Saccharomyces cerevisiae S288C: one gene and its partners. Each later gene encodes a partner of the first gene's protein in a complex. Each region holds a gene or a part of one and is shown on either strand. Other genes may lie near its edges.

Region 1 (3,756 bases):
TGGTTCACAGATCCCAAAACAACGAGGTTGAAGGAAATCAATCTCTCCACAGGTGGCAGAGATTCCGCATATTTAATAAACTTGGATAAAGCTGGGTATCTTTGCAGATGCGACCAGGTTGCTTGTGGCAATTCCACAGATGGTTTAGAAGAAGAAATAGATGATTCAGACATAATTACGCTACGGTTCTGGAGAGTGAGTGATGGTTAATGATTACCGATACATTCCGTTATCTTTCCTTTTATAACCCTTGCTGCTATATTATTAAATCCGAAAGAATACGATCATCCCCCACGGCGGAGAAAATCTAGGCTATTATTATCATTATTATTATTATTATTGTCGTCTTAGTTACATGCGCTTTAACATATATTTCAGCTTACACACTTACATGTATATACATATATATATCTATATATGTATGTATACATATGTATATAAATATATGAATACGGTTATGACCACTCTTGCGAAGTGCGTTGGGATTATGACTGCTTGCATTCAGGAGCCTGTTCCGGCCTGCCAGCAAAATCGTCTTGCTCTTCGGCAGATTCCCCGTCGTCATCCTCCAAGCCGTGATCATCATCTTCTTCTTCGTCTTCGTCCTCGTCCGCTTCTTCTTCGTCCTCCTCGAACTCGAATTCCAAGGCTGCGCCGGTAAACCAGTCCACGGCTCTAGGAATTAGCTTGTCCTTAAGTTGTTCCCCGATGGAGTAGTCTAAAGCTAGACGTTCCTCGAGGTCTTCCTCCAACTCCTCGTCTTGGTCTTCGTTTTGGATCTTGGGAGGGTCGAAGAAGTTGAAAAAGGATTCTATGGGAGTGATCTTCTCGATGGTCCTCACCTGCTTGGTGGTCTTGTTTCTCTGCTTGCGCATTTCTAGGTCCACAGTGACGTTGTGGGCGTTGTCCTTCCAACTGATCTCGCAGCCTTCTGCGTGGTCGTAGATAAAGTCCCCGGAGTAACCGAGCTCCTTCTGGTAGAAGTAGGTCTTGCACAGAATGTCGTTGGTGAAGAATGGGTTGGCGGAAGAATCAAATCTGAACAACAGCTTGAAACCGGGTCTACCATCCGTCAAGTATTCCAGACCAATATCTTGCAGGTACTCCAGAACTTCCGCATCGCGGTCAGTGATCGTGTCGCAAACGATGGGCAAGTTCTCTAATGCGGTTAGCCAGAATGAGGGAATTCCCTTCACCTGTTCCTCCTCGGAATCATTTTGGGCCTTCTCTTCTTCGTCCACCAACAACTCCGTCTCATTGAGTGACTCCACAATCTCTTGGCCCTTTGCGATCTGTTCCGGCTTGGGTTGCTCTTGTCCTGAAATGATCCTGGACCGCTGCTCCCAAATGGGCTTGTACTTCTGCAGAAACTTGTTCTCTAGCTCAAACATCTCCACCTGAAATTCCTTTTCAACTTCGAATAGCTCGCTTTGTAAAGTCTTCAAGCTCAGCAGCTTTTCCTTAACGTTCTTGGGAAGACCCCCCACATACCCGCTGTCCTGGCCCACCAGCGAGCCAAGTCTGTCCTGGATGGACTGTAACAACAGGGGTTGGTTAGCCAAGATGTCCTCCTCGTTGATGGTGCCGATCTTGTCATCCTGCTCCTGTGCCTGGGCCCTAACTGGGTTGCCGTTTTTCAAATAGCTCGGATTCAGAACCGATGCTGGGGTATTGTGAGGCGTAGGGGCGTTGTCGATTTGCATCGACGACTTGGGTTTCGTTCTGATAGGGTCTGACATGATCTTGCGCTTTGCTCTTGGTCCCACTGGGCTCACTAAATCCTCCTAATCTACCATCAAACTGCCATTTTTGATCCCAAACGCTGCTATTTAAAAGGAAAAATTTTCCCAATTACGCGGGTAATACAAAAAAGATATAGCCCATTGTTATAAAAATATGTATGTGTTCAATATAGTGGTATATAGGTGTTATTTGCGCTGAATGATGTACTTGTCAATGTCTGCGGGCTCATTTCCCACCAACTTGTTTTCCCAGTCGACCCAAAGCGCCTCCTTTGGATTCCAAAGTCCCCTCTGGACACACTTCTGCAGGTCCATCCCGAACGTCGGGTCTGTGTGCTTGTATTTGAGCACTGAATCCAGCTTTGGAATCTGCCTTTGCAACGAAACTGGGCCTTGCGGGCACGAAGTTCTCATGTATTGCAGCTGGTCCCACGTGGGAAAGCGGTTGGCGATTTCCACGTCGAATCGATGAGAGACGTCTCCCTTCAGCAACTGCAGGCATTTCTGCGACTTGATATTGGACGCGATGTCATTGGTAAACAACGAGATGGTACGTGGCTGTCTCTGCAATGTTTTCCAAAACGACATTTATTGCGTTTGCGTTTGCGATCTCCCGGTCTGTTATTTTCATTTGCACTTTTCTTAACGTTCTCTTTTGGTTTTATATGCCCCTTTCCAAGCTGGGTGGATACCCCGTCCATTGAGTGCCCGTGCCCAATCAAGCTAAAGCCAGACTAAAAAGAGGAAGAGTTCAAGAACCATCAATGCCTCCAGCACAATTTCACAACAGCTTGACACTTTGGCAACGGTTATATCAGAGCATAGCGACGGGATTAGAGAGATGCAAGACGACGGAAGAAAGAAGGGAGTGCCCGGCATGCGCTGAAAGCGCCCTGTAGTACAAGCGTACCGCCGTTGAATAGGCCATGGTACATCACACGATGATTGATAATTTGATGCAAGCTGCCATGCTCAGATGGTTGTTTCCCGTTTCTCTCTTTCACTTTTGATCTCCTGCGAAGAATAGGATGAGATGTGAATTTTCGTTTCTAATCCCCTCGGCCGTGCGGCTGAAAAAGAGAAATGATATTGGAATAACTAGGTTTCAGATGATGAGAAAAGAGGCTATTTTGTACTATTCACCGACGATAAGAGGCTGTAAGAACCACTCATGCCAACAGCTAAGAGGACGTCATCCAGGGCTTCGTTGGCACTGCCCTTCCAGTTACGGTTGGTGCACAAGAAATCATGGGGCCATCGGCTAAGAGACTTCATTTCCGGGTTCTTAAAATCATGCAGACCCATTGCTAAATACGTTTTCCCCAACTTCATCGTGGTGCACTATATCTACCTGATCACGCTGTCGATTATCGGGTCCATTCTGTTATATCCGTGCAAGAACACGGCGTTCATCGATGTGCTATTTCTGGCTGCTGGAGCGTCTACACAGGGCGGGCTGGCCACCAAGAGCACTAACGATTTCAACCTGTACCAGCAGATAGTGGTGTACGTCATTACATTGCTGTCCACGCCTATACTTATTCATGGGTTTTTGGCCTTTGTCAGGCTGTATTGGTTTGAAAGGTACTTCGACAACATTAGGGATATCTCCAAACAGAATTTTAAACTAAGAAGGACCATGACGTTGCAACAAAGGGAACTATCGGGCAGCAGTGGCAATGCCGCTCGAAGTAGGAGTTTCAAGGACAACCTGTTCCGTGGGAAGTTTGTTTCCAGAGAAGACCCACGACAATCCGCTTCAGATGTGCCGATGGACTCTCCTGACACGTCCGCATTGTCCTCAATCTCACCGTTGAATGTTTCCTCCTCTAAGGAGGAATCCAGTGACACGCAAAGCTCGCCTCCAAACTTCTCAAGTAAGCGCCAACCCTCAGACGTTGACCCAAGAGACATTTACAAATCGATAATGATGCTACAAAAACAACAAGAGAAGAGCAACGCAAACTCCACGGATTCTTTTTCGAGCGAGACCAATGGACCCGCTTTCATTGTG
Region 2 (3,756 bases), on another chromosome or scaffold:
TTTAATAGTGTATGTTTGAAATTTTTATATGTCTTTATTTCGCTAACGTAAAAATCCCTTCTTCTTTGTAGGGACGGGGGAGTGGTTAACATTGGGAGAAGCACTATTTATTGAAAGTTCTAGCTGTTTTTTCTTGTCCTCCAAAGCTTTTAATTGTTTAGTTAATTTTTCCTTCATTTCTTTATGTCTAGCAAACAATTCAGTTTCTGATTTTTGTAGTTTTTTCTCCTTTTCGGAAACTTTTTGTTGGAAAACTGTTTTCATTTCAATTTCTAGTTTGGCTAGTTTTGCCTCATGTAAAGTTTTTTCTTCTTGTTGTTTAGATATTGGATCGAACTCTTTGAAAACTGAATTATCTTGCTTAATACCAAGTTTTGCCAATTTAGAAGACCTGTAGTTTTCGTATAGTATCTTGCTTGTCCTTTCCTTTAATTCCTCCATGAATTGCTTGATCAATAAATTTTTCAAAAGGTTGAAATCAGAGTGGTTGTCATTGTCCACTTCGATCACCCCCCATGGATAGGAACGGCCTCTCACTTGATTACCACTGTAGTTCTCTACAATATCGTTGGAACCAATAACAGCATAAGGTAAACTACTAAATAGTCTTTCGGATAAATGGCTATTTTCTGCATCATCGTTGGAATAAATTGGAGGCTTGAACAGCTCGATATTAGATTGGATTAACTGGTTCATAATGGTCTTCTTGAAACTTAAGATCTCTTCATCAGTTAAGATGTCAGATTTAGCAATGACAGGAATCAAGTTACATTTTTCATATACAGATTGCATAAACTTCAGGTCCAGGGGCTTTAAGTAATGTCCTGTAGGTTCAATGAAATAAAGACATGCATGGATTCTTTTATCGTTTATTGAATGTCTGTTGATTTTGTTCTCCGCATCCAAGTATTGATCAAAACGAGAGTCAATCTCCTTAATGATCGGGTCCCATGATTTTTGATCATTATTTAAAAAATCACCAAATCCTTCAGTATCGATCACGTTCAAATTCAGTTTAACACCATTTTCTTCAATAACCGACTCATATGACTTAATTTTGACCTTGTGCCTTTGTTCTTGTGATTGGTTCTCGTGACCCTCGCCCTGACCCTCCTCTTCTTCCTGATCATTTGCAAGTTCCTCCTCGTAATCTTTCACTAAATTGGCCTCAATATCATCATTATTAAATAAAGTTTTCATTAAAGTTGTCTTACCAATACCATCAGGGCCGACACATAGGAGATTGAAACTGAATCCGTTCTTTATGGACCTTCTGTGCCATTGCTTGGGCAAATTAGCAAACCCTACATAACCATTGATTTGACGACGAATGAACTTAATCTCCGGTTGGTCAGGCAGAACTTGACCCTTTTCGCTCTGAGAGGAGGTGATGCCCATACCGAGGCCGGGTTCCACCTTTACATCGGATTCAGCTGCCTCAAATCTCTCGCTGTCGTCATTTTGCGTACCGTTCGTGTACTGCGAGTCCACTCCATCATGATCCTGCGACTCTTGTTTGATCTGAACATCATTGAATTGATCATGCTGACGCTCTTCTTGTTCCGGGTCCTGCTTAATGGACACTTGTTCCTCCTTTAAACTCATGGCAACGTATTATAGGCCGATGTAATCGTTCAGTTGTCGTGTGATCCTGGATTTGATATTTTCTTGATCTGCTTTCCTCGAGAGATTTTAACTTAATACACAAAACAACACAAAACGCAATTCCTAAAACCGAGACAAAAAATGGCAAAAAATGGGAAGCGAAAACACGCCCCCACCATATCATTACACACGTAGATCATAAAAGACGAAAATACTAAATTAGCCGCCCAGGTGGTTCCTTTTTACGAAAGGAAGGAAGGAGAAATCTAGAGGTGCTGCTATATATGTTTGCAAGGTGCGAGAATATTCTGTCACAATTATCAAGCAGCAAGTTATATAAAGTTGTTTCTCACAGCTTCTTGCACTCCCTTGCGGTGCCTTTCCTGCACCACTAGTGTAACTGCTGATGTCTTCCATTTGATGTCAGAATCGATTTCTTGTTACGCCACGAACAGTTAATATATAGAATTAAAGGAATGATCTTGTACAACTACAAGATAACAATAGATTAACAGCCAATATTACCGTCGCCGCTGCCCGCTTCGCGGAGAAACAGCGAAAAACAACGAAGATCGTTCTCGAAAAAGCCCAAAAGCTGGGTATAACGCAACAAAATAATCATAGATTTGACAATTGTGCTCCCAATCTTGCTTTGAAATTACCATTATAAATGAACTCTGAACAGCTGCTGCATAACTATGTTTCGGATTCGCTACTCACTACTCTGATAAGTTTTCAAGAGTTCAAGCAGCAACTACAGTCGTACACGAGCGACGAGCAACAACTGCAACATTGGTACGAATTGCTTCAGGCCAGGGATGCGCGAGTGACCTCTGAGTTAGAAGCACGAATCAAGCAGTTTTTCATAACGTTGCGCTCTAGATTACTGCGATTTCTGGAAAGCGAGCAACTATCACACTCCCTTAGCCTCGAGACACTGATCGACGCGCTGTACAAGATTAATGACCTGTTGCAACAGCGTTTGCAGATTCTGGATGATGCTATTCAGGAAAAGACCTCGGAACTAGCAGAATTTGAAAATATGGTTCGCTCACCGAGTGCAGGAGACAATGCCATTCCTGGCCTATTACAAATTATACAATCTTATATTAATCTATTAGAGGAAAACTAGCAGCAGACATCCCGGTCAACCTGCCCCACAGGATATTCCTCGCCGATCCATTGAAAGGCTTCGTATGTTGAGTTTAGCTGTTTGTTATCGTTCATGCAGTACCCGTCACCACTCGTTAATTTTAAGCTCCCGGTGCGCTGCATCTCTGTAAGGAAGACCACTCGTCTCACACGAGAATGGATCAGGGCCATGGAGCACATTGAGCACGGCTCATGGGTCAAATAGACGTCGTAATCAAGACACAGATAAGAGTTTGCGTCTTCGTCTACACCCTCCCTGAGTCTTTCGCCTACCGCACGGATGCCCACCATTACACTGTGGTCGATGGGTAGCGAGTTTTCGCAGTTTCTGCCATCTTCTGCCACCACTTTGTCCTTCTTTCTTGATGGGTCAACAAAGACGCTCACCATTGGAAACTGTTTTCCTGCCGTTGCCATCTTCACAGACAACGTCGACGCACGCGATAGCTCATTTCGTACTTCCTGCATGTCTATTTTATAGTCGTTCAATATTTGATCATTGGGGTTGCCGTTCCAAATCAACGGCCAGTACTTCACAGACCAGGCATTGTTCAGTTCCTTTGTGCTGGGCGCAAACTCAGGCACTTCGATATCATCACTCAGTTCATACTTTTTCGTTCCAACCCAAATACTCTTCAATTTATTGTTTATTTCACCTTCGTCGCAAATATACTCTTTCGAACACAACACCACTTCCAAGGTGGAGGTCTCGATGTCCTTGCGGATCCTTTTCAAATGTCTCAATGAAACAGGGTCATTTTTCTGAAAATCGTTTCGAATTAGCCTACTTTACTAGTTAGTTTACTTCCATGAATACAAAAGCAAAAATCATATACATACTCTATTACTTTCTTCGAGTCTCTTGGATCTATTCTTATACTCCATACATTGACTGCACTTATATATGTTTGAAAGTTAGTTAATTGATCCTGATTTCTGTTAGATCTCATAGATACATACTTAGTTTGGGCGTATTTACATCTTTGAAATTTCTAATTT
Region 3 (3,293 bases), on another chromosome or scaffold:
TTGAATCAGATCGCATACTGGTGTAGACGTGAAGTAGACATATGATAATCGAGCAGGGTGCTCAATTTGGTGTGGGACACGTTTGGGAAGGTTAAAAGAAGAGGTATATCCGGATTACATTTATTTTTGGCGTATTTTAATAATTTACTAAAAGCGCGAATAGCTTCCCATTAGCAACGCTCAGGGACTCTTTCTAATGTTTATAGTAATACTTTAATAAGATGAGTACCAATTGCTTCTCTATGAGGCACAATCCCTAACCAAACTTTTATTTAGAATTACCGGTAAACTCCGTTTTCTTCATAGATTAAATATTTGGCTAAGACAACAAAATGTTCTTTCATTTTACCAAACGAGAAGGTGATAGCTGTACGCCAGAAAAGAAGGTAAAAACTCTCGCCAATCCAGCAATACCTGTACCTCTAGTTTTCGATCGCATTATGTCATTATGTAAAACCAAGGAGAGAAGCAAGTTACGGTGTTTTCATATAGAATAATTTGAGAATTCTTAATAACATAAGATATATAATCACCACCATTCTTATGAGATTCAACGTTGAATGGCGTTGCTAGACATATGAGCTGAGGAACGACTATTCGCATTTTCTTTCAAGGCAATTAATTGTCTTGCTCTGAACCCTTCATAATGAATGTAGGAAGTTGTTTCGATTAAGTCTTGGAGATGAGTTCGAATCAAAAATTCCCTTAAATATACAAAATCACACTGGTTGATATCCTCAACATTAATAGCGCTCCAACGAGTTTTTCTTCCCCTGAAGGTTTCACCGTTTATTTCAATCTCATTCTCAGAACCAACCACTGCAAACGGAATGATAGATCTAACACTTCTGTTTAGTTCTAATTCCTCGTCAGTTAGTTCTTCCGAATCATAAGGATAAATCTTGAAATTGTATTTTTCGAATTCATTTTGAATAAGCTCCCTAAACTCCGTTCTTTCATCTAAAGTCAATGTATCCGACTTGCCAATAACTGGTATAACATTTGCTATTTCTGTCAATCTTTTCAAGGCTTCAACGTCAAGGCGGCTCAACTCCTTTCCATTTGGTTGCAGGAAATAAAGAATTGCATGAACTCTTGTATCAGTAATAAACCTTTCACGTTGGGCTGTCAATTCTTTACGTAAGTATTGAGAATGTTGTTCCTTAATGTACTTCACAATAGGCTCCCAAGCTTTAGAATTGTCAATAAAGTCACCAAATCCAGGTGTATCTATAACATTAATATTCAAGCGAACGCGGTCCTCCACAAGAGTATGAGTAGAAATTTTCATTTCAGTTGTTTTTGTAACAGGCAGGGCAGAAATATCATCACCAGTAGCAGAATCAATCAAATGTGAGGCAAATAACGTATTTATTAGAGTACTTTTACCCAATCCGGATTGGCCAACAACCATTATATTAAATTGAAAACCTTTCTTCAACAGACGATGTTCGATCTGATTCGTGATGGTATCAAAACCAACATAAGAAGCAGGCTGTACTGAGCTGAGAGGATCCATTAATATATTTATAGAGTGCTTGTAGTAACCGTGGGGCTTGGCCTTGTATTTTCTTGTCTTTGCCTGAAAAAAGTTAAGTATTACTGATACATGTTTACATATATTCTATTCAGCGATTCTGATCTATTTGTGGTCTCTCGAGGAAATCTCATCGTATCATACGATTATTTCCGCAAGCATTCAGAAAGCAAATCTTAATATAAGGCACAATGTTCCCAAATAATACCTTAACTTGGAGACAAAAACACCAGGGAATATCAGCAAACAAACTATGAATTCTTTGATTTTTGGTAAACAATTAGCATTTCACAAAATTGTGCCTACCACTGCAATTGGGTGGTTGGTACCGCTAGGAAATCCTTCACTGCAGATTCCAGGCCAAAAACAACTGGGATCTATCCACCGTTGGTTGAGAGAAAAGCTACAACAAGATCATAAGGACACTGAAGATAAAGATTTTTTCTCTAATAATGGTATTCTACTAGCAGTTCCTAAAAAAAAAGTATCACACCAAAAAAAAAGGCAAAAACTTTACGGTCCAGGTAAGAAGCAATTGAAGATGATTCACCATTTGAATAAGTGCCCATCATGCGGCCATTATAAGAGAGCCAATACACTGTGTATGTATTGTGTTGGACAAATAAGTCATATATGGAAAACGCATACCGCTAAAGAAGAAATTAAGCCGAGACAAGAGGAGGAACTTTCCGAACTAGACCAAAGAGTCCTATATCCTGGTAGAAGAGATACCAAATATACCAAGGATTTGAAAGATAAAGATAACTATTTGGAACGTCGCGTTCGGACTTTAAAAAAGGACTAGGCTCATCTTTCATCTAGTGGTTTCCTTTTTAAATAAACTTAAGCCTGTATATAGAAACTTAATTTCAAACTGTATATTTATTGTTTAAGACAGCATCAATGGTAGAATACAAGGAGCGGAAACAGAAAGAAAAGTCGAAATAGAATTTTTCGCTTTTGGCTTAACAAAATGAGGTCTTTGAAATCAAGAGTTTTGCTTGACAAAAAACAACTATATTTCAAAATATTAGGAAATGATATTATTAGTACAAGGACTTACAGAAATATACTTTTAATATAAAAAGGAAAAAATAAAATAAAAAGAGTTAATTCTTTATTAATTTTCCAACGTCCTACATTGATATATCTGCTGAGATAGAATTAATGTTAGTAAGAACTAAATATTAGACGCGAACTGTTGTTTCTTACATGACAGTACAGCAGGATAATAATCCTTTGTCCTCCTTCTTTTCTGCAGTTGTAGCTGCTGCAGGTTTAGTTTGTCTCTTAGCCGCATCAGAAGTAGTGGTCTTCTTTTCAGTGGAGGGCTTGGCTTCTTTTGCAGGGAAAAGTTTTTTGGCGGTTTCGTAGAATGTTTTACCTTGAATTTCAGCAATTCTCAATTCAAGTGGAGACGCAGTTCTTGAGCCGTCAGGTCCTGCAAGGGTACCAGCACCCCATGGAGAGCCACCGTGTACCTCTTCTATACTGGCTAACTCAGCAAATGAATTCTTATAACCCAGTGGTAAAAAGATAATTCCGTGATGAGCTAAATAAGACAAACAGGCTTTAACGGTACTTTCTTGACCACCTCCGTAACTGGAAGTACTAACGAATATCCCCGCAGCTTTGCCGTTCAAAGAGCCCTTGGCCCATAATCCACCGGTTTTATCCCAAAAGGCGGACCATTGAGCCGGCAAATTACCAAACCTAGTTGGAACACCGAACAAAAAGGCGTCATATTCGAGCAACG

What was found.
Region 2: NAP1 (region 1) and CDC3 share a complex: the UniProt entries of both Saccharomyces cerevisiae proteins name them as parts of the GIN4 complex.
Region 3: NAP1 (region 1) and CDC10 share a complex: the UniProt entries of both Saccharomyces cerevisiae proteins name them as parts of the GIN4 complex.

The regions. Positions count from the first base shown.
Region 1 is NC_001143.9:524,902-528,657, forward strand, and holds NAP1 (histone chaperone NAP1), read right to left. Parts: upstream 1,740-3,756; coding exon 486-1,739; downstream 1-485. Other genes in the region: PLN1 (Pln1p), read right to left, coding at 1-173; FMP46 (putative redox protein), read right to left, coding at 1,929-2,330; TRK2 (Trk2p), read left to right, coding at 2,914-3,756. UniProt on the Saccharomyces cerevisiae protein: Acidic protein, which assembles histones into an octamer (in vitro). Involved in the regulation of the localization and the function of the septins during mitosis. Involved in the function of B-type cyclins.
Region 2 is NC_001144.5:762,533-766,288, forward strand, and holds CDC3 (septin CDC3), read right to left. Parts: upstream 1,606-3,756; coding exon 43-1,605; downstream 1-42. Other genes in the region: NKP2 (Nkp2p), read left to right, coding at 2,276-2,737; TAD3 (Tad3p), read right to left, coding at 2,734-3,541, 3,598-3,649, 3,718-3,756. UniProt on the Saccharomyces cerevisiae protein: Septins are GTPases involved in cytokinesis that assemble early in the cell cycle as a patch at the incipient bud site and form a ring approximate 15 minutes before bud emergence, which transforms into an hour-glass shaped collar of cortical filaments that spans both sides of the mother-bud neck.
Region 3 is NC_001135.5:116,830-120,122, forward strand, and holds CDC10 (septin CDC10), read right to left. Parts: upstream 1,520-3,293; coding exon 551-1,519; downstream 1-550. Other genes in the region: mitochondrial 54S ribosomal protein bL32m MRPL32, read left to right, coding at 1,791-2,342; YCP4 (flavodoxin-like fold family protein), read right to left, coding at 2,746-3,293. UniProt on the Saccharomyces cerevisiae protein: Septins are GTPases involved in cytokinesis that assemble early in the cell cycle as a patch at the incipient bud site and form a ring approximate 15 minutes before bud emergence, which transforms into an hour-glass shaped collar of cortical filaments that spans both sides of the mother-bud neck.